Struthio camelus: one gene and its partners. The protein of the gene in region 2 binds, or shares a complex with, the protein of the main gene of each other region. Links are inferred from orthologs where the notes say so. Each region holds a gene or a part of one and is shown on either strand. Other genes may lie near its edges.

The links.
Region 1: the proteins of MYO6 (region 2) and TOM1 are in contact, whole or in part, in a crystal structure (PDB 6J56), measured with the Homo sapiens proteins. The link is inferred for Struthio camelus from reciprocal best matches to the Homo sapiens genes MYO6 and TOM1. Residues at the interface, in NP_001355794.1 of Homo sapiens: Ile1182, Phe1184, Trp1202, Gln1214, Glu1216, His1218, Asp1220, Lys1221, Pro1222, Ile1224, Leu1226, Glu1234, Met1235, Cys1236, Leu1238, Glu1242, Thr1243, Gly1244, Leu1245, Arg1247; in NP_005479.1 of Homo sapiens: Ser440, Glu441, Phe443, Phe446, Leu447, Arg450, Ala451, Ala453, Ala454, Asp455, Leu457, Pro458, Asn459, Leu460, Ser461.
Region 3: the proteins of MYO6 (region 2) and GIPC1 are in contact, whole or in part, in a crystal structure (PDB 5V6E), measured with the Mus musculus proteins. The link is inferred for Struthio camelus from reciprocal best matches to the Homo sapiens genes MYO6 and GIPC1. Residues at the interface, in NP_001034635.2 of Mus musculus: Ser1055, Lys1056, Trp1057, Lys1058, Tyr1059, Ala1060, Arg1084, Arg1085, Leu1086, Val1088, Tyr1089, Trp1092, Lys1093, Asn1096; in NP_061241.1 of Mus musculus: Glu273, Ser274, Tyr275, Met276, Gly277, Ile278, Arg279, Asp280, Glu282, Leu283, Thr286, Asp310, Phe311, Ala312, Pro314, Glu316.
Region 4: the proteins of MYO6 (region 2) and GIPC2 are in contact, whole or in part, in a crystal structure (PDB 5V6H), measured with the Mus musculus proteins. The link is inferred for Struthio camelus from reciprocal best matches to the Homo sapiens genes MYO6 and GIPC2. Residues at the interface, in NP_001034635.2 of Mus musculus: Ser1055, Lys1056, Trp1057, Lys1058, Tyr1059, Arg1084, Arg1085, Leu1086, Val1088, Tyr1089, Trp1092, Lys1093, Asn1096; in NP_058563.1 of Mus musculus: Glu255, Leu256, Tyr257, Met258, Gly259, Ile260, Asp262, Asp264, Leu265, Thr268, Thr289, Leu290, Asp292, Phe293, Ala294, Pro296.

What each region holds. Positions count from the first base shown.
Region 1 is NC_090942.1:59,891,332-59,898,761, reverse strand, and holds the start of TOM1 (target of Myb1 membrane trafficking protein), read left to right. Parts: upstream 1-4,425; 5' UTR 4,426-4,508; coding exon 4,509-4,560; intron 4,561-7,430.
Region 2 is NC_090944.1:43,547,967-43,555,818, reverse strand, and holds the start of MYO6 (unconventional myosin-VI), read right to left. Parts: upstream 3,011-7,852; 5' UTR 2,977-3,010; intron 2,404-2,976; exon of another isoform or gene 2,336-2,403; intron 1-2,335. UniProt on the Homo sapiens protein: Myosins are actin-based motor molecules with ATPase activity. Unconventional myosins serve in intracellular movements. Myosin 6 is a reverse-direction motor protein that moves towards the minus-end of actin filaments.
Region 3 is NC_090972.1:3,432,507-3,439,647, reverse strand, and holds the start of GIPC1 (PDZ domain-containing protein GIPC1), read left to right. Parts: upstream 1-4,139; coding exon 4,140-4,433; intron 4,434-6,657; coding exon 6,658-6,843; intron 6,844-7,141. Other genes in the region: DNAJB1 (dnaJ homolog subfamily B member 1), read left to right, coding at 1-71. UniProt on the Homo sapiens protein: May be involved in G protein-linked signaling.
Region 4 is NC_090949.1:24,429,078-24,436,880, reverse strand, and holds the start of GIPC2 (PDZ domain-containing protein GIPC2), read left to right. Parts: upstream 1-4,796; 5' UTR 4,797-4,806; coding exon 4,807-5,058; intron 5,059-6,079; exon of another isoform or gene 6,080-6,360; coding exon of another isoform or gene 6,361-6,384; intron 6,385-7,803.

The DNA of each region.
Region 1 (7,430 bases), on a different chromosome or scaffold from region 2:
AACCTCTGCATAACTGACTTGCGTGCATATGCACTACGCCGGCACTCTCTAAGGGCTCCGTGTGTAGGATTTTAACGTTTTATATCTGTATACTATATACATAGGATTGTAACTATTTGACTTCTATTAATTTCATGAACAGTTGTGAATTTAAGCTGAGAGAACCCTTTTATGTTGGTGGATGAAATGTACTCCAATTTGAAAGTATTTTTATGAAGAATTCAGAAAGCGTTTGAGATACTAGCCTTAAATTCAGATCTGTTAGTGGGGGAAGCACCCACTAGAGAATCGACTTCTAGATATAAAAAACAAAATATTAAGAGTGGTTGTTGGAACAGATTGTCCAGAGAGGGTATGAATCTCCATCCTTGATGTTATTTAGAAACTGACTGAGCAACCTGCTCTAGTTAGACTTTCTTTAAGCAGAGGTTGGACAAGATGACCTCCTGACAATTATTCTGTGGGCAGTTAGAGATGCTAATTTATTGTGGACCAAGGAGTAGAACTGAACTCTTCACCAGCCCTGTTTCTAACTTTTTCAGTATAAAATCTACTGCTTGAGGGAAAAGCTGGATAGCTGATAAAAGATATAGAGGTCTTCACCTCTGAGTCACAACTTCCAAGCTTCCCTCTTCAGTGACTGATGACTGAAAGTTGTCAGCGTCAGCTGGCTGGTCTGGTAGCTTGCATTTGGTTTGAAGGTGAAGATGGCAAAACATTTGTTCTTTTCTTGTGGACTGGCATCCAAATTGCCATTAGCGTGAGGTATCAACAGACTGCACTGGCTTGTGAGAATGAACCTCCTGCTGATTTTTCCAGGGCTTGGTCAGCCCACTTTCACAGAATCACAGAATCACAGAATCACAGAATCACAGAATGGTTGAGGTTGAAAGGGACCTCTGGAGATCATCTAGTCCAACCTCTCTGCTCAAGCAGGGTCTTATAGAACATATTGCCCAGGATCACATCCAGACGGGTTTGGAATATCTCCAGCAAAGGAGACTCCTCTCTGCAACTACCTCTCTGGGCAACCTGTTCCAGTGATCTGTTGCCCTCACCGTGAAGAAGTTTTTTCTCAGGTTCAGATGGAACTTCCTGTGGTTCAGTTTGTGCCCGTTGCCTCTTGTCCTGTCGCTGGGCACCTGTCTCATCCTCTTGACATCCCCCCTTCAGATACTTATACACGTTGATCAGATCGCCTCTCAGTCTTCTCTTCTCCAGACTGAACAGGCCCAGCTCTCGCAGCCTTTCTTCAGAGGAGAGATGCTCCAGTCCCCTCAGCATCTTTGTAGCCCTCCGCTGGACTCTCTCCAGTAGCGCCATGTCTCTCTTGTACTGGGGAGCCCAGAACTGGACACAGCACTCCAGGTGAGGCCTCACCAGGGCTGAGTAGAGGGGCAGGATCACCTCCCTCCACCTGCTGGCAACACTCTTGCCTAATGCACCCCAGGATCCCATTGGCCTTGTTGGGCACACTGCTGGCTCATGCTCAACTTGTCCACCAGGACTCCCAGCTCCTTCTCTGCAGAGCTGCTTTCCAGCAGGTCACTCCCCAGCCTGTCCTGCTGCATGGGGTTATTCCTCCCTGGGTGCAGGACCCTGCACTTGCCTTTGTGGAATTTCAGGAGGTTCCTCCCCGCCCACCTCTCCAGCCTGTCCAGGCCCCTCTGAATGCAGCACAGTCTTCTGGTGGAGAGGAGAGTGGTAGCAGATGGGAGAAACCTGGATTGCTTCTGTTCGTCTTGCATGTGTTTTGTGAACACAGGACTTGAGTTTCTGAGATCGCTGATCCTATCCCTTTCACCAGCAGTATTGAAAGAGCCACGGTGCTGCTGTGAGGCAGTGACTAATGACCAGTTTTAAGCAGTAATGGCTGAGCAAGGCACATGTCAGTTGATTGGACTGATTCCCCTTCCTTCCAGCCACATACTTGGTATTTTGGTTTTCTGCTCCTCTAGAAGAAGAGCTGCAGGAGAGCACTTGATTCTCATATAGGTTTTTGTGTGTCTGTATGTATGTGTATGTAGTGTTCATATCATGTGTATTTAACTTTTACCAATATCTGTAACAGATTTTAATTTATCCTGTATATTTCTGTGTGTGTGTGTGTGTGTGTGTGTGTGTATATATATATATATATATGTATATAATTTAAAAGCAAAAATCCCTCCCTCCACCAACAGTGTGTGGAAAACACGAATCAGGTGTGCGTCACCTCACTTCCTGCAGGCATCAGCTATACGTGCAGTAGCATGCATTGGTTCTGTATGGGGAAACAGCAGCAAGACTTTAAGTGTTTGTAAAAAACAAGACTATCTTGTGAAGCTAGGTAGAAGCTGAAATAGAAAGCTTTTTAATTTGACCCCAGGATCTCCAGCCCTTATAGCATAAAAGTTTCAAAATGATAGAAGAGCACTTTTGGACTACTTCCAATTTGAAGTGTAGTTTCTCTTTTTCAGGGCAGTTGAAAGTGAGCTGTCCCTCATTATGGCTGAGTCCCAAATCATATTTAAATTAAATCCTCAGGTGTGCAGGAGGGTTTTTCTCCCCGTTCCTCTTTACCATATATTCCCCAACTGTGCCAGTGCAAAGCAGTCTGTCTGTTACAGACCTTTTCTCAGTTCAATGTTGTTTTCTCAGTAAATTAAGTGGATGAAGCAGAAGATTCTGAAACTATCATGTCAATTCTTATCTGAAGCCTCAGACCACAGAATACCTGTTTGGACAATATATGACTAATCACAGAGATCTTGGAATTGGGAAGAGGCTTGGGAGGGAGGCAGTCTAATTCAATTTGTGATCCTGGACCCTTACTAAAGCATCTGCTATTGGGAGTGGCACAAAGTCACTGGCTCTTTCCAGCTCTTTACAACTGAGAGCATTGTGGTAAAGGGCTAGATCTCTAAGAAACAGAAGGAGATCAGCTCTTGCTTTGTCATCTGTACAATTGAAAACTCTTGAAGAGTTTAAAAACACACACAACCCTAGTGTATTGTATTTTTATTTAAAATTTGTACACTTTGTATAATCTGTATCTTGTGGTATTTGGTACTAGAGGGAAAACTTTGGTGACACTTAGCAGTTTTTATATTTTTGTTATTTCCTTGCTGTTTGATCCAGATTACATTACAATTATATAAAGAAACTCTTTTGTACTGTACTTAACAATATAATTTTTTTTAACATTTGGAGTGTTGTCATTCATTTCTAGTGTTTACTATGTTTTCTTGCAACAGTTGTTCCTACTAGTATTTCGTGTTTCTCGGCAAAACACTTTTAATTTTAAATTCCTTCATCTCAGTTGTTTTAAGAACAAGCAATTCTAGTTCTAATAGCACAGTTCACCTGAAATACCACTCAAAGAATACTGACAATTTGGAGACCTTCCTGAAGGGAAAGATAACATCTAGCATGGCAAATCCTACAGCATGGGGCATTTTTCTTCCCTGTTCTCTCATTTCAGTTCACCTTTGTGGTGTTAAGGTGAAACAGTACAGGGGACTCAAGATCAAGACAGTGAAAGGAACTACAGGCATGGCAAAGTTAGATCATAATCAGTGCTAGTTCTTAACATGTCCCCATTTCCAGGGTCTGACAGATGCACTGGCCACTTACACCCTCAGCGTGTGTGATGTCCAAAGACATGAGGCTGTTGCAGAACGTGATACTTTACTAGCCAACTTGTATTCCTTGTTTTAAGTACATTTCAACAGAAGTTTATGGAAAAATAAAAGCCAATAACTACATGCTTTCACGCATTTCAATGCAGCTCTAGGTAATGTTTATTCTGCATAGATACAGAAGAGCATTTGAGGAAACTGTTCTAGTGTTTCAGTAAGAAAATGGTAGCAAAAAGATACATCAGTAGCCACATCAGCCTGTCTTGGTGCCACACTGTAAATAGCTGTGAAAGAAGGTAGGAAGAACGCGTGCAGGGAAATCGTACTTGTTGGTAGCTGGGCTCTTCAAAGCTGTGGCTGCAAACAACTGCCTTGTCTACTAAAATAGCATTCAAAACCTCCCCGCAGGGAAAACGCACGGTGGACTTCAGCCCCACTGGTGAACAACAGCCACGACCAACCGCTCAAAGCGGTCAGGTTAGAAAAGCGCTCCAGCCTGAAGCTGCAACCGACACACGGTTTACTGTGGCCGCTCGCGAAAGCGGCGGCGGCGGCCGGGCCGGGCCGGGCCGGGCCCGGCCGGGCGGCCGCACAGGAGGCCGCGCTTCCGGCAGCGGCCGGCTCCGCGCCTCAGCGAGCGGCCCCGTTCCCGGGCCCCTCCGCGGGGAGGGCGGCCGGGCCGGAGCGCTCTGGTGGCTCCGTCCCTGACGGACTACCGGCCACCTTCCATCTCCGCCGGCCCCGCCCCCACCGGCGGGGCGGCGGCCGTTAAGCGCGGGGCGCTTTCGTCACGGCGTGGCTGGGCCTCGGAGGCACGCCCCGGCCTGGCGCGCGGGCGTCACGTGAGCGGCGCCGGCGGAGTCAGCTGATCGCGGCGCGGCGGCAGCGATGGACTTTCTCCTAGGAAACCCCTTCAGCTCCCCCGTGGGGCAGCGCATCGGTGAGGCTCCCGCGACCCCGCGCCGCGCCGCTCCCCTGCCCTCCCCCGCGCCCCTGAGGTGGGCTCGCCCGCTGGCTGGACCCCCTTCCTCCAGGAAGCGGCGGCGAGAGCCCCGAGGGGGCGCGGCCATCCCCGCCTCCACGGCGGGCCTGAGAGAGCGCCAGCCTATGAGGGGAGCGTGCCGCTTTGACGGACAGGCGCTGTCCACCAATGGCGAGCAGCAAGAGCTGGACGGCTCCGTCGACCAGCCAATCCGTGTGCGGGGGGGGGGTCTCGAGATGGCGAGGCAAAGTTTTCTTGCTTAAAGGGGCCGAAGCAGCGGTGGTCCGAGCCACGCCCCCTCGCGCAGCCGCCACCTGTGATTGGCTCGGGCCCGTTCCCGCCGACACCTGCATGAGGACCTGGTGGGGGGAGCGGGCACATACGGAGAGGGGCGCGTGGGGGGTCGCTGATTGGCTGGGGCTCAGGCCACGGGGGGCCTATCAGCTTTCTAGATGAGAAGGGTGGGAGTTCTCCTTGAGAAGGGGGTCCTCCTTGGGGGCCATGACAGAGTCTGGAGGGCTTTGCTGGGAGGCTGGGGGGGGGTTAGGCCTGCTCCAGGCTCTTTGGGGCTCTTCCCAGGGGGGTTCAGTGCCACCCCCCCTGCTCTGAAGGAGGACAGCTCTATCTGGTGCTGCCCCTGCTGAACCTTGAGGTCTGCAGTGCGCAGGGCCCCCCCCCCCCCATAGGGCCACACTGCAGCTCCACGAGGAGGAAAGTGCCACCCCTGCACCGCTGGATTTCTCATAGGTCTGAAAATCAGCATGGGAAGTGAAATCAACTACAGGTTTATGGCATCTTCTCTGTGACCTCTCAGGCTGATGGACTACTAAGTCTTTTTTTAAACCCTGTGCTCAGGTCAATTAGATGAACACAGGGGAAGAAATTGATCAAAAATGGTCTCAAAACAGAGATATAGTGCTTAAAATGCTTAAAACAAAGGTTCTTTTCTTCCCCTCTTGTATTACATGCTTTCTGGTTGTGCTTGAGGTAGTACAGTTGATGTCACATGTTTAATCTATCCAGCATGATAGAAAATGGCCATTTGTAATTTTATACGCTTCTTCATTGTTGCTTTTTATCACTAGTGCCAACCTGTGTTCTTCATCTTGAAAAACTGATTCCTAATTCAGTACTTTTCAAACTGCTTGCGTGTGGGGTCCACATGTGTAGTGCACTGATTGTGTCATGTATGGTATGGGAAGGGAGCAAGCAGTTGATGTAGGTAGTGCTTTTAAAAGTCCTACTTATTTTAGAGGCTCTTGCTGCCCAAAGCAGTGTCCAAACAATATGGATAGGGCACTGTGATATGGCCCATGTTAGCGTGTTGGACAACATAGGTGAGATTCACTGCTGCAAGGTAGGGGAAGGATCGCTTTGGCCAAAGATATCAGGGAAGTTACTAGGTAATGAGAAGTTTCAGATGATCTTTGATGTCCCCCCAGGCAGTTGTCACATGTTGCATCACGCTTTCCAGGAGGAGCATTCTCCCGCCCTTTTCAGAATGAATGTTCTTTGATTCCCTGCATGAATGTATGGGATATGATTTTTGCATTTGGGTTGAGGCAAAATGAAGTAATCTTTAGATGTTACAGATTACATCTTGCCCTCCAGATCTTTTGATCAGTGTAGCAGCCAAATTATAAGTGATTTCCCTCTGGGCTTTTCTTCTGTTAAAGACAGGGTTTCCAAGTAACAAACCAACAGCAAAGAAGAGAAAATAAGTATTTCAAGAGTGTTGTCAGACAGGAATTTAGAATCCTTAGTACCAGAGGTGTGACAGTAGAGAGATCTTAATGGTTGAGGTTGCGGGAATCCAAAGGGTTGGAGGATTTGCAGTGTCTGAGAAGGGAACTGAAGTGTGGAGGACTTAAAAGGGCTGGTGGCTGTAAATATGAATGCTTTTTTCCTTCTGATCATTGCCTAGCAACATCCTGGGGACATGGATAAATGCTATCTTCACTATTTAATTTGAGACGCGAACATGACTTACCCTAAGTTGTTTGGTAGGTCAGTGTCAGCTGCTTATACAACCCTTGAGCCTGATCATCAAACCTGCAGAGTGCTGCTGCTTTGGGCTGTCTACAGAAGGCTTATACTGCATCATTGTAAATTACTTCAGCAAAGTCGTGTATGCTTGATACAGCTTATAAAGTCTAAAACAGCTTTGGATGAAGGCGGTGGAATGAAAAAATCTTTTGTGCCACACTCCAGTGATGTTCTGAAATTGCTTCATTAGTGTTAATCTAGTAAGTCCTCTTTATTTTGCTGACATGGAAACTGGTGCTTAGATAAACTCAGTGATTTGTCTCAGAATGAGTCAGTTGCAAACTGCAGAGGAGTAGGTTTTCCAGCTTCTTACTCCCAGTCCTGGAATTTGTTCACAAAAGTTCCTTTTGTTCTGTTTTTAGATCATGATATGTCCTCCTAAATAAGAGGAATACAGACTTTTTTTTTTTTTTTAATGCAATACTTTTGGCTAGCAGAGAACTTTCCAAAGAGTTTGGACTCTCCACACAGAAGGATAATCCCCTTGGCCTCTACCTAGGAGCTCCGAGAAACCTCAATATGGAAAACCTAACTCCGAGGAGGCACTCTAGTAGTAACAAGGCAACTGTAGAGTGTGAAAATGGAGAAGAAACCACAAATATTCTCTTTTCTTAAAGCTTAGAGTTTGGAATAGCTAGTAATTATAGCAAGGGACAGAGACTGGTTATTCCAGTGAGTGAAGGCAGATAGGGGAGAAAACTAAACATGTCATAGAGAGACAAAGAAGAGTTTGGGGGGCGGGGGGAGGAGGTTAAGTGTGTGGAAACAGGAGAAGTTGAGAA
Region 2 (7,852 bases):
TATTAGTTTTATTTTTTACAATTGTACATATTTATAATTTCTGCATGTCACTTCTGTCAGGCTTTTTAATTCAGATAGTAAAGACTGCTGCAAGGCTTAATAGCTGCTGTTATATTCATTCTGTTGGCTTTATATTTTCAAAAAGGCATAACCGTACTTTATTGCTAAACAGAGATTATTAATTTACATGCATTTTTAAAAAATCTACTGAAAACAGTTGAGATTAAATTTAATTTCTATTTTAATGAAAGCAATGGAAAGGTTTTTACCTTCTGCTATGCCACTTAGTTTTCACATTTACTCTCCCAGCTCTAACAATAAACTTACTCTTTTCTTTGCAGTTATTTTATAAAACGTACACTTCACAATTATCTTGTGCATTAGCACAGTTCCACAATGATATTTAAACAAATATTGCAAGAAGATATTTGTTTATACCTTCAGACTTCCGCTAAGATAATTTTAATCCTTAAATCACTTCTGTTATCAGATTTTTTTCCTAGCATTCTTCTCTCTAGAAAAGACAAACTTCAGACTGCACTTAACTTCAGATCTTGTTTCTCTTACCCTCTGTTAATTTGTCACGTTTGTAACAAAAGGAAAACTTACTCTGCTGTCAACCTTTGTACACTGCTGAATGCTAACCAAGTTCATAGGCCATTTTACAGCCTAATAATGTCAACTGAGCCGTGAGAAATTAGATCACTTCAAAGAACGTTCTTTTCCTTCCATGAGCAAGCCAAGACACTAATTTTGATGACATGACATTCTACTTCCCACCACCTTTGTTAAAAAAAAAAAAAAAAGGGGGGGGCTGACACAATCAGCAATATTTAAGTGAAATAACTGGTAATTCATGCGATCTGTAGTCTGTAGTTAATATACCTATTTTAATTTTATGGGTCTCTGATGGCATTAGGATTTACTAGTAAGGAATCTGACTACCAACTATCAGGCAAGCATCAACAATAAATATCATACCGTATAAATTGTACTCAAGTGATGGCAGATTAAGGGGAAGAATATTTTTACTGAAGTTTTCCTATTCAGTAATACATACAAATCACAGAAATTAAAAAATAGATTTTGGTAGTCTGTCATGCTTATGCACACTGCTTTCCAAAACTGAAGTCTGCAAACGTACTTCAAGAGGAATTTGCTTCAACAGATGATGTGTTTTAACTGTAGTACAAGTCATGCTCTGGAGTATGTCAATACTGTAAAAAATTTCATTTCTCTTACAGGGACACAGCCATGTTTTTGAATTGAGAGGAATTAAAATGAAAGCCAGTGGAATTTAGCACATACAGCATTTTACAGGAGATGATACTAAAGGAACAAGAAAGTTCAATGACATTTCATGATGTAAAGGAAAAGCGTTTTAATCTATGATTGCATCTAATAAGGAAGGTCTGGCTATGCTAAAAAACCATCCTGATAAGAACGTAAAGGGGGCAGTCAGGAAAGCACCTAGAAGGACTTTTCCTGATTACACATATACATTTAAAAGCTTTCAATTGAAGCTACTGGCTCCAGGTAAGCTTGCAGACCTCAGGGCCGGCACTTGACTGCCTGGGACGCCTCCTGCGCCCTTGTGTTTCTTCTCCCACCTTAATGGTAATACGTTTGTTTAATTAAGGAGATGTGTGAAGTGAGATCTACTGAATGCAACTGAAGCTTCTGTTCTCAACGTTTCCTGCTTCGAACTCTAATCCTCTCCACTGCAGTATTCACCCTTCTCTGTTTTAAGCTTGCTAAACTTTTAAAGAAGTACTGCATATTATTCTAATGCCTACGTTTAATATCAGAGGGCACCTATGCACGCAGCGGCGCTCCGGGAAGTCCCCACTTCCCTCCCGCCCCTTTGGGAAGCGTTTTACAAACGTGGAGTTACCAAACTCTCCCGGCCACCGCCGGCGCAGCCTTTGCTGCCCCGGCAGGCAGCCAGCCCGCGGGGCTCCCCTCGGGCAGCGGCTCCCGCAGGAGCCGCCCGCACCTGGCCACCGGCGGGGCGGCGCCGGCCCCACAGCGCGGCCCACGGCGGGGGGGGGACTGCCAGGGCCGGGCAGGAGGCGCCGGCAGGGCACACGCAGGACGCCGGGGCAAGCCGCCGCCGCCGCCGCGGGGGGGGAGGAGGGGGCAGAAGGACGGCACCCCCCCGGCCCGCCGAGCACGGGGCAGGGAGGACGCAGTGGGGAAGGCTGAAGGGCAACAAGCCGCCGCCGCGGGGCCCGGCCGCGGGTGACGGCGGCGGCAGCAACAGCTTGTCCCCCTCCGCCCACCCGCCCGCCCGCCAGGCCCCGCACCGGGACAGCGCGGCCCGGCGCCCGGTTACCTGCTGTAGCGGCGGCGCTGCGCGCCCGGCTGGCCCCGCTGCCGCGCTGCTCTGCGCCGCCCCCCCCCCCCCCCGCCGCTCGGGCCGGCGAACCGCCCGGGACGTCAGCGCTACAGGGGCCGGCCGGGGGCGGAGGCTCCGCGGCGAGGGCGGCCGCCGCCGGAGCGGGGGAGGAGGAGAAGGGGGGGGGGGAAGGGGCGACGGCGACGCCAGCGAAGCGCGGCTGAGGCCCGCCGGCCTTGCCCGCAGCACCGGCGCTGCCCCTCCGGGAGACCCCGCCCGCCCCGAGCCCCTCCGTAGCCGCCAAGGTCGCTGCGCGTAGGGCAGGGCTCGGCCCCGGCCCCGGCCCCGGCCCCGCGCTGAGCCGGGCGGTAGCGGGCGAGGCCCGCTGGCGCACCCCCCCCCCCACACCTTCCCCCCTCCCTCGGCTCGGGCGGGGGGCGAGGCGGGGGTCTCCCCCCGCCGCCCCCTGCCCACCAAGCCGCCGCTGGGCCGGGCCAAGCCGAGCCGCCCCGCGTCCGTGGCCTGCGAGCGGGCGCTACCTGCCTTACCCCGGCTAAGGGGGAGGCTTCCCCTCCCCCCCCCCCAAAAAAAAGGGCCTGTCGGTGGCCCCGGGGCACAGTCCCCGCCGCTCGCCTCACCTGAGGGCGCGGCGCTGCCTCCGCCCCGCCCCGGGGCGGTGCCCGCCCGGGCTGCCGCGGGCCGCGCGCCGGGCGGCGACCGTTGGCGACCGTTGGCCGCGCCCCACGTGGGGGCCATGTCGCCGGCCTGGGTAAAATACCGTGAGGAGAAAGGGTTGAGTTAAAGCTTCGGGAGTAAAGGAAAGGGCTGGCGATGCATTCAGGAAGCAGCATTGCCCTTAGAGCGGGTGGATGACCTCTGGTGCAGGGGATGTCTCTTAGGTCTCACCTGGCTTTTTCTTTCTTGCACCAGAAAGTGGTGTTTAGTCGGTTGGTTCGGTTTTGGTTTTATTTTTTTTTTTTTTGGCCGGGGGGGGGGAGGGGTGGAGATGCGGCTAGGTTTTTTTGAACCAATGCCATTACATAAAGAGTCAGGTTTCCGTTCATCGCATGTGTTTCTTAGAAATTTCAGGCATGTCACAGCATTTTTATGCTGAAATAACTGTGTCCACAAAGTTGTATCTCCTGATGCGTATGGATAGAATTCAATGAATGCATTTTTTTCTGAGTTATTTTTGGGCAGTGTCTAACACCTTTTAGCTCTGATTTCAGTCAGGCTGTCTCAATGTACTCTGTTATAAACAGTATTTTTGCTGCTACTTACCTCTTTTGCTTTCTATTTGCATTTCAAATACTAGAGTTCATCAGCAACTTCACTTAAGTGCCAACATAAATGCTTCAACTTCATACTAGTATGTCAGAATCTCAAAGCAAAAGCAAACTGAAATAAAGCGAAGTTTCACTGGTCCTCTCATGTTTGTTTTAATTAACCATCACACTATAAAGAAAGATATGCAGTAGATGGCAGCTCCGCTGCTGTGGAAATTCTGAAAATCAGAGATTCCTTGAAAAACATCCTTTCTCGTAAATCCCCGTCTTGTTTAGGTGCTGCTCTTTTCACTACCATGACAACCCTTTTTCTAGGGAGCCACAGGTATATATTGCTGAATTTTGCACAAAACGGAGAGGCTAAGATCGCACCTATTGCTCAGTGACAGTCGTGTCTGCCTGCCTTTGGCCCTGTCTAGCCTGAGTCTGATGCACCTGCAAGGCAGCACACTTGCTAACCTGCACACCAGTATTTCCATTGGCTTTCCGAGCTGCTGTGGAGATTTTCTATTGCACCCGTGCACACCCAGCTGCTTATGCCAGTGACTGTCACCAGTGCGTTGGTGTGACTCAGGAGAGCAGCCCAGCTGGAGAGCGTTCCGTCAAACTTTGTGTCACACCACCAGAGACGCATATAACCACCCCTCCTTAAGTACGTATACTGTACTTTTGTATCACTTCCCTCTCCCTTAGTTTTATTAGCGTTCCTAACATTATCCACTTCTTTCTCAATTTTCCCATAAAAACTTTGCTTCTCTTCATGCAATACTTGATGAACAGCATAATTATCCTGACTGTATGTGCAAAGCCTCTTTGCTGTCCACTGCAAGACCATAAAGTCGTCTTGTGTGTTTTGCTGACAGAGTGAATCTAGCTACTTCACACTTCAAAATCTCTCATGTTTTCCCTTAACATTATGTCCCTGGCTACTTTTCTTTAGACATGGTATTTTCAGGTGGATCCTTTCTGAGTGTCTGGAAAACCTCATATTTCCTTTAGGGAAAAACAGAAATCCCCGGGAGCTTTCCAGGGAAAGGATTCTGTCAAAGAATAGCATGGAAGTACACGTGGAAGTGAAAATGGGAGTACACAAACTGGATGAGTAAGCCGGCATCTAAGGCAGAGCAGAGCACGGGTGGAGGTAAATGCTCTGTCCTGATTAACATTCCTACAATTCATATAACATGCTATAGGCTGATTTTGTTTTTCAAAACACTATACATGTCTGCAAAGTGACAGTTTAATTTGGCAGTTGCATATTCATTTGATACAATTTAAGAATAGTTAACAGGTTTGACAGATCAAAATATTTTAAACTTCTAGAGAAGGGGAGTGGCACTTTCCACTTAACCCACTATCTTTTGGCGCAGTGTTTTGTACGTTCAGTCTTCTTTTTATTTGCAAAAGAGATAAGGATAATAATTACCTGGAAAAAAAAGTATGACTAGAAAACTAAACGAAAATATAAGTTCACTGACTGATTTAAAAAAAAAAAAACCTCTTAGCAAAACAGGATATAATGGCAGGAAATGGTCAACAAAATATTTTCAGTGTAAACAAGCCAATCACTTCCACTTTGCCTTGGAAGTGATGCAGCACTGAAGAGTATCTCATGATCTACTGTGCCGCTTCCTGGTAAGGAGCACGTCTGTCTACTCTCTCACTTTTTTGTCCCTGGGAATTCTAAAAATAACCCAAGACACAGCAGCGTTTGTTCTGTAGATCCTCTGGGAAAAAAAGAAGAAAATTCCCACAAAAGTAAAATATGAGTGCAGGAACTTCAACCTAAACAAAGGGAAAAAAAGAAGAAATAAGAAAACAAAGAAAAACGTGTTTTACTGTACTCACTTTCTGTATATGAAGGGGGAGCATTCCAGATTTCATTCATAGGAAAGTGTGACCAGCCTCTGTTATTTCAGTCCAACTGAGATTTTTCAGAATACCAGGAAACAGTATGGCTAGGGTGGAAACTCAAACCAATTTTTACTTGATGGCTATTTTAGGCTACTGATATTTGTAAGACATAGATTCAGTTTAATGGCTGTAATGGAGACCAGAGTGCCTTTACCGTGACTCAGTTCTTCCTGTGCCTTTAATATGTCACATGGGAGAAACCGTAATGGAGAAATATCCATTCAAAAGCGGTAACGCACAGATGAGATTTGCAGGAGTAGCTTTCATTCAGTAGTACGCAGTACCTATCAGGTAGCAAGAGTCTATTGTAATGAACAAAACATTAGTACCATACTTCAGTATCGTCTTAAACGTGCAAACGATACACACTAGACAGCCTACCCGGCATCCCATGATCGTACCAAAGGTAGAAAGATTGCTGAGACAAGGCAATGCTCCATTTTAGCGAGAACATCAGTACGGGCGCACGCTGCTTTGCTGTACGCTGCCAGGCAGAACTGACAATATTCCAGATGTCCACGGTGTCTTAATTCACCCAGATACTAAAAATTTATGTTTAAATATTCATTTCTTACAGATGGTAGAAAACACATTCTGCCCTCAGATTTGCCACATTTTTTTAAATATATGTGGTACGGGCCATCGTATTTTGTCAGAGCTGATGAACTGCAGACTATTTGAAAGGATAAGTAGGTAAAGGATTCCAGGTGACTTCCCGGAAAACTTTGAGAGAATATTCTACCTATTTTCATTTCAAACAATATTTAAAATGGTATGTCAGGTATCTGAACTTCTAAGAAAGTGAAATCTCCTGTATAATTCTGTTGCTCAAGATCTAGACCTTCCAGTGTAAATATGAAACGGATTGTGAGAGTTAAGTTTCTCTCCCCAGTCTCTACTATGAGAAATTAAATGTAAAAATCAGGCTTGACAGTCACTACAAGCCTTTACTATATGTATCTCTTCACACAGAAAGGTTGCGTTTAAATCGTATTATAATTAGCTGAGTTTCTTCATGGATTACATGTTCCAAATGTAGCTTGTAATGGGTGAACTTCTGCCTGTAGAAACATCCGTGGGCACCTAACCAATGACTTCCTATGGCCCAAAGTTCATTCACTTTAAAGTGCTTTGTTGTCATACGCGTATATAAATATAATGTAACTACACTGTATCTGTGTAATCTGGTCATGCTAAAACACCTCACAGCTCGTGAATACGAAGCGTTGAAGTTTCCTGACTGTCAAGTGCTTCAGCTTAGTGGCTTGATATTCCATAAAATCATTTTAGAAAAGTAAAAACATCCAAGTCATATCCTTATTGGTTTTAAAAATGGATTTACCTGTACAGAGTTTCCAAATGTAGCTGTTGTAGCTGCCAACTTAGTCTTGCCAGTACAATTTATCTATTATTTATCTAGACAAAGAATAGCTTACTTAAACGTTTGCAAAAGAACATTTCTAACTGGCTCATAGCAGCTTATGGTCACAGACAAGAGTTCAAGAAATTAAAAAATATTACTGGGATTTTAGCAATAGTATCCTTACCAATTCCAAGATCATAATCCTTTCAGAATCAATCTGTGGCTTCTTTCCACGGACGTTTACTCAAGGTAAGAGACATTCATTTCCTTAACATGAAAACTGTTTACTGGAAACGGGCATGTAAGTCTTATCTGCTCCCTTTCACCTAGTATTACGGGCGTATACATAATGCTATGATTCTGACAGCCGTGAAAAGATTGGGTTTCTTTTTCCTTATTCCCAGTAGACTTTAAGTGAACACCTATTTTGACTATAGCTAACTTTTTTTTTTTTTTAAACACCTTGACTTTTCCACAGGCCTTCTGTATTCCAACTGATACATTCAACTTACTATTAAATTAGACATTATATGGCTTAAGGCAGCAGCTCCTATTTGAAGTCCTACTGTTTCATTTCAGTTCATAAGTAGTTTCTTCTTTCCTGTTATCAGACTGCATGTTAGTTAAGGAAGGTTGATTGTTCTGCATTTCCATCTTTAGCGATAGTATGACTAGTTTCTGAAGGTCTATATTTTGACTGGAAGTAAATCTGCTGGATTGGTCCAATTTTTCAATAACCTCTGCTTAAAGAATGTATTTGAAATTATATATAATAAATATATATAATATATATATAAAGACTAAGCAAATAGATTATTTTGAATTGTGAGTAGTTAAAAAAAAAAGAAAGGAATGCAAAATAGACTTGGTTAAATAATAGTGCAAGAAGAGGTAAAAGGTACCCCTGACTGATCAGTTAACAGCCTTTCTCAAGTCCGTTGCTTTTTATTT
Region 3 (7,141 bases), on a different chromosome or scaffold from region 2:
TTGAGGTCAAATTCCCTGACCGCATTCCTCCTGCTTCAAAACCCATCCTGGAGCAGGTCCTGCCCATATAGCGCCTCCGCTTTAAGGACTTGGCTAGAGCTCGAGGTGTGGTGGTTTCTTTTATTTTCTCTTTTTCGGGAGGGGACCACAACTGGGACTTTCGGGGTCTCTTTAGCAGCACCTCCCTTGGGGGGGGGGGTGTTTGCACCCCCTTGTTTCCCCGAGCCGAAGGGCGATGTCCAAACTGCCGAGCGGCCTCCGACGGCTCCGCTGGAAACTCCCACCGCCTGGATTTTCGTCGTGCGGGTCCAACCCCGACTTCCGGGCCACCCGCTGCCCCCCGACGATGGTGGCTCGGAGCCCTCCGGTGGTCTTCCCCCCCCCCCCCTTCCTCCTCCTCCTTTCCCTCCCAGCGCGGGCTGGTCCCTCGTGTCCTGGCTCGGTGGCGAGGAAGACTCCGGTGCCTCGGGCTTTTTCGGAAGGCCTCTTCCGCCTTCGCATCCGTAGCACAACTCTGGTGTTATCCTTTGCGGATAAAAAGGGTGTTTGTTTGTTTTTTGGTGTTGCTCCTGGAACAGGAGCGCTCTTGGCACTCGTGTACAGATATTTTTTTGTATAAAGCTCTGTAAAATTGATGTGTAATTAGTAAAAGTGAGACGGATGGCTCGTTTGTGTGTGGGGGGGGGTGGTGGTGGTGTGGGCCTGGGAGCTCGGCCTGGGATTATGGGGATTAGAGGCTGCGATGGGGGGAGGGGGAGTGCTAAACTGAGGGGAGCTTAAGGGGATTGGGGGGGAGGGGGAAGGAGGAGGCTGATTTGGGGCTGGGGCTGGGAATTCTGTTTCCCCCCTCCAAATTGGGCCATTTCCAGGCTTTTTTTTTCCCCCCCAAATTGTAGCATCTCAGGGGCTGCAGGGTTCCCACTCCCAAACTGTACACTGCCCGCCATGTTCCATCAATACACCCGCCCCGGGCCAAATTGCGCCGGTTCTGGGGTTTTTTCCCCCCAAATCCTACTGCTCTGTGGCTTCCCCCCGCTCTCCACCCTCCCCGCCTCGCTGCCGCCTACGGTTCCCAGCGTTCCCCCGGCCCGGCGCCTGCAGCGCGGCATGCTGGGACTTGTAGTCCGCGCCTCTGATTGGCTCCCCCCGACCCCGTGGGCGGGCTCGCGGCCGAGCAGGGCGGTGCCGCCCGCGTGCCGGGGCCCGTCCACCGCCCCCGGCCGGGCCCGTTTCCTGGAGCCGCCCCGCCCCGCGCGGGGGCTCATTGGCCGACGGGGCGGTGTCGCTGAGTGGTGATTGGCCGGCGGGGCGGCGCCGCTCCGCCATGATTGGCCGGCGGGGAGGCGCTGGCCACGCCCCTCCCCGGAGGGTCAGGCCCGGCAGCGCCCGGCTGGAGTTTGCGGAGTGACGGGCCCGGCCCGGGGACGCGGACGGTGAGGGGGGGCGGGGGGGGCCAGGACCGGCGGGGGGCTGAGACCGGGGGGGCACCGGGACCGGCGGGGGGCTGAGACCGGGGGGGGGGGACCGGGACCGGGACCGGCGGGGGGCTGAGACCGGGGGGGGGCCGGGACCGGGAGGGGGCTGAGACCGGGGGGGGCCGGGGCCAGGGGGACCGGGACGGGGGGGGCTGAGACCGGGGGTGGACGGGACCGGGACGGGGGGGGGCTGGGACCGGGGGGGGAACCGGGGCCAGGGGGACCGGGACCGGCGTGGGGTTGAGACCGGGGGTGGACGGGACCGGGACGGGGGGGGGCTGAGACCGGGGGGGAACCGGGGCCAGGGGGACCGGGACGGGGGGGGGCACCGGGACCGGGGGAGGGAACCGGGACCGAGGAGGGTGAGGGGCGGGGGGGGCCGAGACTGGGGGGGGGGAACCGGGGACACCGGGACTGGGGCCCAGGGAGGCGGCAGGACGGGACGGGGAGGGGAAACTGGGACCGGGGGGGAACCGGGACCGGGGGGGACACCAGGACTGGGGGGGGACACCGGGACTGGGGGGGTCACCAGGACTGGGGGGGGACACTGGGACCGGGGGGGTACCGGGGCTGGGGGGGCACCAGGACCGGGGGGGGCACCAGGACTGGGGGGGGGTACCGGGGCTGGGGGGACACTGGGACCGGGGGGGGCACCAGGACCGGGGGGGGGACACCGGGACCGGGGGGGTCACCGGGACTGGGGGGGGTACCGGGGTTGGGGGGACACTGGGACTGGGGGGGGCACCGGGACAGGGGGGACACTGGGACCGAGGGGGAGGGAACTGGGATTGGGGGGGACACCGGGACTGGGGGGGGACACCAGGACCGAGGAGGGGACCAGGACGGGGTTGGGGGGGGGGGACCAGGACTGGGGGGGGTGGAAATGGGATGGGGGGGGGAACGGGGACAGGGGGGACACCAGGACCGAGGAGGGGACCGGGACGGGGTTGGGGGGGGGGGACCAGGACTGGGGGGGTGGAAATGGGATGGGGGGGGGAACGGGGACAGGGGGGACACCAGGACCGAGGAGGGGACCGGGACGGGGTTGGGGGGGGGGACCAGGACTGGGGGGGGGGTAGAACTGGGATGGGGGGGGAACGGGGACGGGGGGGACACCAGGACCGAGGAGGGGACCGGGACGGGGTTGGGGGGGGGGGACCAGGACTGGGGGGGGGTGGAAATGGGATGGGGGGGGGAACGGGGACAGGGGGGGACACCAGGACCGAGGAGGGGACCGGGACGGGGTTGGGGGGGGACCAGGACTGGGGGGGTAGAACTGGGATGGGGGGGGGAACGGGGACGGGGGGGACACCAGGACCGAGGAGGGGACCGGGACGGGGTTGGGGGGGGGGAACCAGGACTGGGGGGGGTGGAAATGGGATGGGGGGGGGAACGGGGACAGGGGGGGACACCAGGACCGAGGAGGGGACCGGGACGGGGTTGGGGGGGGACCAGGACTGGGGGGGGGTGGAAATGGGATGGGGGGGGGAACGGGGACAGGGGGGGACACCAGGACCGAGGAGGGGACCGGGACGGGGTTGGGGGGGGACCAGGACTGGGGGGGTAGAACTGGGATGGGGGGGGGAACGGGGACAGGGGGGGACACCAGGACCGAGGAGGGGACCGGGACGGGGTTGGGGGGGGGGGGACCAGGACTGGGGGGGGTGGAAATGGGATGGGGGGGGAACGGGGACAGGGGGGACACCAGGACCGAGGAGGGGACCGGGACGGGGTTGGGGGGGGGGGAACCAGGACTGGGGGGGGGTGGAAATGGGATGGGGGGGGAACGGGGACAGGGGGGGACACCAGGACCGAGGAGGGGACCGGGACGGGGTTGGGGGGGGGGAACCAGGACTGGGGGGGGGTAGAACTGGGATGGGGGGGGAACGGGGACGGGGGGGACACCAGGACCGAGGAGGGGACCGGGACGGGGTTGGGGGGGGGGGGGACCAGGACTGGGGGGGGGTAGAACGGGGACGGGGGGGGGAACGGGGATGGGGGGGACACCAGGACCGAGGAGGGGACGAGGACCGGGCTGGGGGGGGGGACCAGGACTGGGGGAGGGGTAGAACTGGGATGGGGGGGGGGAACGGGGACGGGGGGGACACCAGGACCGAGGAGGGGACCGGGACGGGGTTGGGGGGGGGGACCAGGACTGGGGGGAGGGTAGAACGGGGACGGGGGGGAACGGGGATGGGGGGGACACCAGGACCGAGGAGGGGACCGGGACGGGGTTGGGGGGGGGGGACCAGGACTGGGGGGGGGTAGAACGGGGACGGGGGGGACACCAGGACCGAGGAGGGGACGAGGACCGGGCTGGGGAGGGGGGACCAGGACTGGGGGGGGTAGAACTGGGATGGGGGGGGGAACGGGGACGGGGGGGACACCAGGACCGAGGAGGGGACCGGGACGGGGCTGGGGGGGGGCTGGAAATGAGACTTGGTGGGGGGGGAACCATGATTTTGGGGGGGGGGGAGAAGACCAGGACAAGGAGGGACGCCAGGACCGGGGTGGGAGGGGGGGGGGGGACACGACACCCCTCCAGGCCACACACCCAGCCTCCCGCCCCCGTGCCTCAGTTTCCCCTCTCCCCGCAGCCCCCGCAGAGCCGCCGCCGCGTCCCCCCCCCCACCCGCCGCCGTCCCCCCCCCGCCGCCGCCGCCGATGCCGCTGGGCCTGGGCCGCCGCAAGAAGGCCCCGCCGCTGGTGGAGAACGAGGAGGCGGCGGGGGGCCGCGGCGGCCCGCCGGGCTCGCCCTTGGGGGCGGCCGGCGGCGGCGGCCCCCCGCCGGGGGGGCTCCTGCCGCCGCCGCCGCCCCCCGCCGCCGCCCTCCGCCCCCGCCTCGTCTTCCACACGCAGCTGGCCCACGGCAGCCCCACGGGCCGCGTCGAGGGCTTCGGCAACGTGCGCGAGCTCTACGGCAAGATCGCCGAGGCTTTCCGCATCCCGCCCGGCGAGGTGCGGCTTTGCGGGGGCGGCGGTCGGGGTGGGGGGGGGGGGGGCCAGGATGGTGTCGGGCACCCCCGGGGTGCTGGGAGGGGGCTCAAGGCTCAGGACGCTTGGGGACGGGGCACCCAGAGGTGCTAGGGGGAGATTCGGGGGTCGGCATGCTCAGGGATGGGGCGCTCTGGGTGTTGGGAGGGGGGTTCAGGGAGAGGGCACCCCGGGGTGGGGGGCTCGGGGGTCAGGACGCTCCGGGATGGGGCACCCCTGGGTGTTGGGAGGGGGTTCAGGGAGAGGGCACCCCGGGGTGGGGGTCTTGGGGGTCGGCATGCTCAGGGATGGGGCACCCCTGGGTGTTGGGAGGGGGTTCAGGGAGCGGGCACCCCGGGGTGGGGGGCTCGGGGGTCAGGACACTCCGGGATGGGGCGCTCTGGGTGTTGGGAGGGGAGTTCAGGGAGAGGGCACCCCGGGGTGGGGGGCTCAGGGGTCAGGACGCTCCGGGATGGGGCCCTCTGGGTGTTGGGAGGAGGGTTCAGGGAGAGGGCACCCCGGGGTGGGGGGCTCAGGGGTCAGGACGCTCCGGGACGGGGCACCCCTGGGTGTTGGGAGGGGGTTCAGGGAGAGGGCACCCCGGGGTGGGGGGCTCGGGGGTCAGGACGCTCCGGGATGGGGCCCTCTGGGTGTCGGGAGGAGGGTTCAGGGAGAGGGCACCCCGGGGTGGGGGGCTCGGGGGTCAGGACGCTCCGGGATGGGGCCCTCTGGGTGTCGGGAGGAGGGTTCAGGGAGAGGGCACCCCGGGGTGGGGGGCTCGGGAGTCAGGACACTCTGGGATGGGGCACCCCTGGGTGTTGGGAGGGGGTTCAGGGAGAGGGCACCCTGGGGTGGGGGGCTCGGGGGTCAGGACGCTCCAGGATGGGGCGCTCTGGGTGTCGGGAAGGGGGTTCAGGGAGAGGGCACCCCAGGGTGGGGGGCTCGGGAGTCAGGACACTCCGGGATGGGGCGCCCCTGGGTGTTGGGAGGGGGTTCAGGGGTCGGGATGCTTGTGGATGGGGCACCCCTGGGTGCTGGCGGAGGGCTGAGGGCTCGGGACAGTTGGGGACGGGGCACCCGTGGGTGCTGGAGGGGGGCTTGAGGGTTGGGACACTCGAGGACAGGGCACCCCTGGGTGCTGGAGGGAGCTTAGTGGTCAGGACAGTTGGGGACAGGGCACCCCTGGGTGCTGGAGGTGGGCTGAGCACTCGGGATACTTGGGAACAGGGCACCCCTGGGTGCTGGAAGGGGGGCTTGAGAGTCAGGACGGTCGGGGATGGGGCACCCTTAGGTGTTGGGGGGGTCTTGGGGATCGGGACACTCGGGGATGGGGCACCCTTAGGTGCTGGGGAGGGTCCTGGGGATCAGGACACTTGGGGACAGAGCACCCCGGGGTGCTGGGGGAGAGAGGGCTCAACGGGCAGGGTGAGGGGATCCTTGGGGTGGGGAGGGGGACAAGAGGACATTGCGGAGACCAGGGGGAGAGGAACGGGGGTGAGGGCAGCACCCGTAGGTGCATGGAGGGGGGGGGGTCCCACGTGTCCCCAGTGAGGGCGTCCCCGAGCAGTGGGATCCCATGTGTCCTTGGCGGGGGGGGCCCACAGGTCTCCAGCAGGGTGTCCCCAGGCAGTGAGGTCCAACATGTTCTGCAGGGAAGGTGTCCCCAGGGTGGGGATCCCCTGTGTCCCAGGGGGTCCCACGTGTCCCCAGGACAGGTGTCCCCAGCAAGCGGGTCTCGTGTGTCCCAGAGGGTCCCACATGTCCCCAGGACAGGTGTCCCAGGGCTCCTGTGCACCCCAGGGCAGGTGTCCCCTGGAAGGGGGTCTCATGCATCCCCAGGGAAGAGGTCCTTTGTGTCCTGGGAGCTCCTGGGTGGCCCTGGGGTAGATGTCCCTGGGAAGGGCGACCCACATGTCCCCAGGGTCCCATGTGCCCTCAGGGTAGGCGTCCCGAAGAAGAGAGGTCCCTTGTGTCCTCAGGACGGGGGTCTCGTGTGGCCCCGGAGGAGATCTCGTGTCTCCTGGGAGGTCCCACATGTCTCCAGAGAGGTGGTCCCCAGGAAGGGGGTCCCGTGTGTCCTGGGAGGTCCAATGTGTCTCCAGGGAGGTGGTCCCCAGGAAGGGGATCCTGTGTGTCCTGGGAAGTCCCACGTGTTCCCGGCGTGGGGCTCCGGGTGCCCCTGCACCGCTGACGGCCCTGCCCCACCCAGGTGATGTTCTGCACCCTCAACACGCACAAGGTGGACATGGAGAAGCTGCTGGGGGGACAGATCGGCCTCGAGGACTTCATCTTCGCCCACACCAAGGGCCAACGCAAGGAGGTCGAGGTCTTCAAGTCCGAGGAGGCCTTGGGCCTCACCATCACCGACAATGGCGCCGGCTACGCCTTCATCAAGGTGCGGGGACGACTGTCCCACGTGTCACCCACCCCGGGCCAGCTCCCACTCTCCTGGAGAGCCTCAGGGTGAAAGGGTGACCTTGAGTATTCTGGAGGGGATGAGAAGGGACTGTCCTACTTGGAGATGCATAGGGACGCTTCAGGCGGTCCCTGAGGCACCTTGGGGGGGACGCCAGGACGTGGTCTGACTTTATGGGGGGACACAGGGACACCCCAGATGGTGCCCGAGCCACTCTGAGCGGGAAGTGGGGGGAGCATCCTGGGCCATCCCAGGAGGACGCAGGGACGTCCTAGAC
Region 4 (7,803 bases), on a different chromosome or scaffold from region 2:
AGCTTTAAGAAAATCTGGAGGTGACTATTGGCACCTAATCACCAGTGGACAACTCATGAATTAGTGGAAAAACTAGATGCGCTCCATTCCTTTTTAGCATGCACGTCTTACATGGTAGTCTTACATGCTCTGGCAGCATATTTCTTTGAGGTGAAAAGAGGTTCTAACCCTACCAGTGAAACTTGCCTTCAAACTGTCATCTCTGGGTGAAAATTTGTGCACTTGAATTCATATGCTGGCTGGAAAAAAAAAAAAAAGAGGATGTGCACTGCTGATGGCTTTCCTTTCCCAGTTAATAAATGCTAGTGCTCAGCAGCTAACATTATTCTTGTTCTTACTGTTTTGCTTGATGATCAAACTATATAGATTCAGAGTGTTCACACATTCACTTACTGCGTTTGACATTCAAGCTTGGCAAATGGTAGCACTAGTCTGCTCATGAAGTACAATCTCAGCTCTTGGTTTGTCAGATTGTTCAACAGTGGACTATTTCCAGATAACAAGAACAAGTGATTTGTTTCCCCCAGGCTCTTCCAATTAATTGTTATGTTATGTAAAGAGTGAAAGTAGAGGGATACTGTTGCTCCCCTTGAGTTTAGATGAGAGCACACGACTGTGCTGTGCTTGTTCATTTCCACTGTAAGTGCTGGCCCACCCAAGGGAGAAGTTACAACAATCTTGTTAATCATGCCTGAAGATAATTTGTCCTTGATAAAGTAATCAAACTCCTGCTGCCCTACATGATTTAAAAAACAAAGCACTGAGCCATTATGCCATGCTCCAAACAAATTATCTGGACTGCTCATATATACATCCAAAGAAAGGTTCATAAACTAGGTCAAATGAGAAGTGTCCAGTGCTAGAAAAGCTGTGGCCGAGTATAATGAAGAGCTTGACCTGCTTCTGAGAGAAATCCAGGAAAACCAGGTTTATTTTCTTCATATCACCAACAAACTGATCTTGCAAAGGTGATGGATAGTAAGGATAAAATCTCTGGGGTCCCCTCTTGCTCCCTATGAAGTCATGATGCCAAGCTTGCAGTCAGTGTGTGAACGAGTTTATTGCTGCTGTGTGAACGAGTTTATTGCTGCTGTGTGAACTTTCAGAGGATGGCATGACTAATTGGGGTGCTTGTATGTGTCAAAGACAAAATACGACTACTTTAAGGCAGCAGCTCATACTCTCTGGTAAGATTTGTTAACTGAGTTTAGTCCCTCTCCTGTCACAGATAGTCCTGTTTGAACTCTGATCTTAAAATGGAGAATGAAACACAGCCTTATTGAATAAAAGGGCTTGTTTTGCACATTCTCCAAGAGTTTAAAAATAGCTTTTAACATTATTTATGACCAAGAAATTCCTGCTTAGATTTATCAACATTACTCTTTGATTTCTTGTCTCAATTTTTTGTTACCATAGATAACTATAAAGACCAACTATATTTTTTCTCAGCCTTATTTTTGTCAGAATAACAAGAGAAGATCTCACAGTATCTTATAAAAACAGATTCTTCATTCTCTAATCATACCAGAAATCCTTTTAAGTAGTTGCTGAGTTTAGAACAGGGATGACAAGAATGGTGCAAAGTATTGCAGGTAACGGCTCCCAAAGTCAGATATATATTCCATGAGTGGTGAAACAATCTTGTGTATGCTACTGATATTTTGCAGTAGAGTACTGTGGCATTTCATATCCAGTAGGTCTTTGCTGTATTTTACGTACTTGCTCCACAAACTTCATGGCTGTTGCATGCCGTATAATTCTCACATCCTAAGTACTATGGCTGAGAAACCAAGAAATGCAAGAAACAGCAGTGTGCAATACGAAAGGGTAAAGGGGCCGAAACTTTTTTTTGATAAGCATTTTTTTCTCTTCTAAAACAATAGAAGATTAACATCTGTATTCAAATAACTTTCTGACAGTATTATTTATTAAAAGTATGACTTAATTTTTGGATCCCAACTGTCCTGAAATGCTGGAGGCTTATTTGGATTCAGGATTTAGTTACGATGTACAATAATAAATGTTAGCAAATATTTCCCAGTTGGCTGCACATGCCAAGGAAGCCTGAAAGCAGGAGTGATTGTAGTCGGTGTGAATGTGATTGGTGTCCACTATAGGCTTTTTTCTTTGAGATGCTCAGCAGGCTGACTCATTTCTAGCTCTACAAATGATTCAGTCCCCACACTGTTACGCTGATTACATCTAAATGGTTGAAGTTCAAGGAAATACTGTTTATAACCGTAACTGCAGGCTGCCCCCACATCGCCAAAAAAAAAAAAAAAAAAAAAAACAGTACAGGTAGGAGCAATGGACATATAAATTGGAATTTTTTAGCACTTTAACTGTTTCCTGCCAAAGTTGGAGTCTGTTAATGACAATTTTTGGTACTGCTGTTTTAAGTTTGGAGTTGGAGAATAAATTAAAATACACAGTTTTCTCTTTCTCTGATAGAAATGTTCAAGCTCATCTATTATTATGTAAATAATGATAGGATATACATGCTCCATAATCTTTGTATTAAACAGTACAATGTGATCTTCAGTTTATTCAGTCAGCTCTTTGGTATCCCATCATTTTTCCTATTTATAGCTAAAAAGCTGATGCTGTTCCTCCAGGCTTCAAGTAGGATCAACATCATTCTCGTGCAATTTCAGTTGTTTTTTTCCTCCCATCTCCATATGAAGCATGGATTATGTTTGGAAGAGGAAATACTTAAAGCTTCCATTAAAGAAAATTTTTCAAGTTATTTAAATTAGGGCTACTGTCAGTGTTTATCAACTTGTGAAAAAACAAATCTGTACAACCTCTGTATGTCAGTATATGAAAACATGGCTGGTTTTGCTTTCATTTAACTGAATTGTTAACCCTTTCAATAACAGTCATAAACAGCATTATTTACTGTTTCGTTTTTTAACATTTTTCGATCATCTCTTCAGAAGATAAGAAATGACTTGATGGAGGTCCTATAGAGGCAAGAAAGAAACTACGATTCTTTCCATAGGCAAAGCTGTGTATCTGTAATAGCTGATATATTCCATCCTTAATATTGGCATCCCTTCTGCTGCATTGGGACAAACCGCTGATATTGGTCAGTGCTATTGTATATGGCCGTTTTGCTTTGGCCATTGTTTTTAAGGTTCCCCAATAGTGACCACGTTTTCTGGCCCTCCTCAGTAGGATTGTAGAAGCTTCACTTTAGGAAATAGGAATGCAAAGTCATTTCAAATTGGGCTGGGCAATTCACGTATCCAAGTCCGATGGTAAGTTTATTCTGTAGTCTTAATTGGTGGGAATTACTGGTAATTAATAACTCAATTTTGAATCCAGTTGTCTTAGATAAGAACTGATAACGTGGGCATTTCTGAGTATTCGGTTAAATCCAGGTTAATTTTGGGAAGACCAAAATCCAAATGGCATCACTGCACTTTTTTTCCCCACCTGAACAGAATTTAAGCTTTATGATTTCTTGAGGCAGAGAAATATATATCAGGTGATGTGCTTATGTCAGTGATAAGGACTGAAATGCCAAGAGGAGGAATTACTGAGTGCTCAGATAAAACAGCATCAAGGCTAGTATTTATTCCTCTGGAAAAGGGTTCAACACAAAGTATGTGTGCTAGGTTGTCTAATGAACCTCCCTAAGAACTTTCGCCTCCAGGCGGCCTCCTGGTCATCCTCTTCTCTATGCCCTTGTGGTCCGGCTCCTTTTTTTTCCCAGTGGTGGGTCTCCTCTGAGCGTCAGAAGGTGTGCTAAGGCAAAGCTGCTTCTCTCTGCACTTTTGTGCTAGATTCCTGTAGAAGGCCTGGATGCTGCTTCATGAAACTTCCACTCTTCATGTCCCGAGTGCGTTCAGCACACCGGTGAAAATGGAGTAATTCACTGAGGTGAGTGTAATTGTTGTGTTGTGAGTGTTGTTGAGGTGAGTTGTACTGGAGCAAAGAGGTCTTTTGTAGCAGGTAAAAGTCTAAATCAGTATTTTATAGCATACAAGATGAAAATGTTTTAAACTTAGCAAAGGCCAGAAAACATGCTTTTTCAAATACTTGTGTTAAATGTCAGTACTTCTAAACTGTTGCCCAGGATGATAGGAAAAGCCTCTTAAACTTTGCTTACATAATTATACATCGGCAAGCTTCAATAAAGTCGTGAGTACTCCAGGCACAATTGTAAATATGGGAAAGATTTGGCAGAAATCTTTATATATGGTCTTTTATATCCTGGATATAAACCTATTTTGATCAACATTTAGTACTTTATTTTGAGTACTATTTAGAAATTCCTGAACAAGCACGTGGGAAGACAGTGAACTTGCTAGCATTGTGTACACGTAGGAAAAGACATAAAGTAGGGGTGTATGTATAAACTTTGTGGAATGCGTTTTCTATTATACACCGTTAGAGAAAAGTGGAACAGACACCTTGTGTTGCAGCCCGTTTTCCGGGCAGCGCGGTCTTGGGCGAAGCTCTGGGTGCAGTCTGCGGGGAAGCGGCGGCTTCCGCTGGCGAACGCGCGATGATGGATGTGGCGGGCAGGAAGCGTTATTGATCCGGGCGAGGAGCCTCCGTCCCGAGCGGCTCCCAGCCCGGCAGGGGGCGGGAAGCGGCGCTCGGGCCCCGGCGCCCCCCGCGGGGCGGCTCGGCGCCTCCGGCCGGGCTTTACCGCCGGGGCCGGGGCCGGGGCTCACCTGGCGGCGGCGACATGGCTGCGCCGGGCCGGGGCCGGGGCCGGGGCCGGGGCGGCGGCAGGGCCGGGGCGGCGCCGGGGGCAGAGTCCGGTGCGGGGAGGCGGCGGCGGCGGCGCGGAAGATGCCGCTGGGGCTGTGGAGCAAGAAGAGGGGCAAGTCCAAGGAGACCTCCAAGCTGGTGGAGAGCGAGGCGGACCCGGCCCCGGCGCCGCCGGCCGCGGACCCGGCCCCGGCGCCGCCGGCCCCGCGGGCGCGGCTGCACTTCCACGCGCAGCTGGCGCACGGCAGCGCCACGGGCCGCGTGGAGGGCTTCGCCAGCGCCCGCCAGCTCTACGCGCAGATCGCCGAGGCCTTCTGCATCCCCCCCGCGCAGGTAGGGTCCCCCCGCCGTCACGCGTGGGTGGATGGAAGGGGCGCAGCAAGGCGGGCCGCGTGCTCCCGCAGCGTAACCGCCCCAGCGTCGTCCCCGCGATTTGGGGGGTTATTTTCTAATAAAGGGGAAAAAAGAAACCCTGTTGCTACTTCCAAAGACTCCTAGAAATGAAACACCCATCGCATACGCAGAAGGGTACAAGCATTTAATTTTTATACAGCAAAATATAGTCATTTTTACCATAATATCTCTAGTATCTTGGTTAACCTATTGTTCACTGGATGTTTAATGCAACTTAGTGCCTGTTGAACGCCGAGTCAAACCATGTCTGTTCTGGGTGGGTGGGTGGGATAATTCCAGGGCAGGAATTACTGATTGCACTGATTTTTTTTTTTTTTTCCCCAGTTTGAAAAATGAATGAATCTATGAGAGCAAATATACAGAATGGCAACAACAGGGTATAAATGCTTTAAATCTAGCCTTTTTTTTCTTTTTTAATTACAACTTAATGCGAGGTTGAGCAGCTGGAGAACTTTTTGCTTTGCCAAATGATTATTTTAAAAAGGGGTGTTGCTAAGGGAAGCCTATTAAAACTGTAGTAGGATTTTTTTTTTTATCCTGCAGCCTTTTTGATCTTTTTGAGCCGAGTTTAAACATTTGTTTGGATTACAATTCATTTGTGTTTGTAAATGCATTGTTTTCCCTTAGTTGAAAGGCAGTGGCTGTATCACGCTCTTCCTACGTGCTTCTATGAGCCTTAACCTTTGAGTGTCAAATTGTAACAAAGTGCTAACTTTTCATGTGGCTTGGTTATATAGTTTTACTTATTTTCGTATTTGTTGCTGGTTCCTTTAAACTACTGTAGACTTTGCTCTGAGAGACTACTGTGGTTAGACCTCACAGCACTTCAAAGAGTAAATGATAAAAGCAGCAGTAGCAGTGAACACAGTTTAACCAGGCACTGTTGCATTAAGTAATTAAGAGCTACCAGTACCTTTGCCAGCCAGCGCGCCTACCTCCCAGACCTTGTCAGCTGCTTTCTGACCTTTTGCTTCTCTGTTTTCTTTCCCTACGGAGCTTCTGTTCCCCTTTTGTTATCTGTTCTGTTTCCAGTTATACCTTTTACTCTCGAGCCCCGATAATTGCCAGATCGTTTTTCTATTTTAGTTTCCTTTCCTTCATTTTGCTGTCGAACGCTTTCTCCTGTCACTGATCCTGTGGCTCCACTGGCTTGAGAAAGAATAGCATCCACCGGGAAGTTCAGGGTTGGATGAATGGTGCTCTTCCCGCTTCTCCTGCTCCATGGGGAATGCAAGGCCCCCAAAGGTGAGAGAAGGAGGCCCCACGTGTCTCACCGGCATCGATCCCTGGCCTTGTACTAAACTAGAGAATGATTTTTTTTCCTTCTTTCCTTTTTCTACTGGGCCTTCCCCTTTCTATCTTGGTTTTATTTTTAAAAATTTGATTTATTGGGAAAAAGGGAGTGAAGAGTTAATGCTGGAGGCACCACGCTTGTTCTTTAAAGTGGAATGAATTTTTCTTGAATAAAGAGTTCTAATTAAGTTGCATAAAATGAAAATAGAGATCAAAATTACTTCCTGGTGTAAAAGTGGAGCAGCAGAGTGATGAATCTGGACCAGAAAGTCTTGCAACAGGATTTTGGACAGAGAAGTTAAAATAGGATAGATCAGTGAATAGCAAGTAACAATTTGGGAAAGCATCTGAATATAAGTGTAAAGTATTTCATATCCTGAAAAAGTTTTGCGCTGAAGCTTTCTAGCTTAAGGAAAGGGTATGGTCTAACTCCATATTGTGTCTGTGCAAATAAGTTGTGTGTCTTTGTTCAGAAAGAAACATGATATTGGCTATATGAGAAACTTACACTATTTTAATAATTTCAGTAGTTTGAAACTAGGGAAAATACTGCAAGACATTGTACAGATCCCTGTTTTAGCTCTGAGAATATTGGCAAGGCGTTCATTTACGTTCCGTAACGGCCTTACTTTGCACCTTGGCAAGTCGTACTTAGGATGAGGAAGTTTATGCTTTTTTTTTTTGTTATCACATGGGAGAAAAAATATTTAAGAATATAATAATTGATTCACTGACATAATTTAAGATGTGAAGGACTTTTACAACTGTTATACAAAGCTAAGGAAGCAAAAATTCTTTGTTTCGAAGCTTGGAAGTTCAATACATGCCTGTGACTGAAAAATACTATATTTATTTAGAATAATTTGTAAGTATAATAAATTCTAGTGAGTGAATAGAGATAGACTACTGGACGAGAAAATGGAAAAGGTCAGCATGCAGGATTTGTGGACACCCAAGCAAAGGGACCCTACAGTAAAGGTGGTATTTGTAACACAGTAGAAGATCTGACAGGAATCAAGACAAATATAGTGACTGAAAAATGGAAAGATTAAATGACTATTTCATGGCCCAAAGCACTAAGATTTTGTTATACTGTATTTTAATGGAGGGATGGGCCAACATCCTGACTGGGATTCCATGAAACACATGATTTGTTAACAGCAGAGCTTGCTTGAAATGAGAAGTGTAGACATTTTAAATAGTATTACTTATGAATTAAAGCTGCTTATGGGCTGGCTGGTGTAAAGAATAATGCCTGAAGGTACACCTCAGCACACTGCAAGACACTGAGGTGCTCAAATGCCATTTGGAGGTGTCATCTACCTAGGAAATTTTGTGACCGAACTCTTCTGAAGCCTGCGGGCAGTGTGA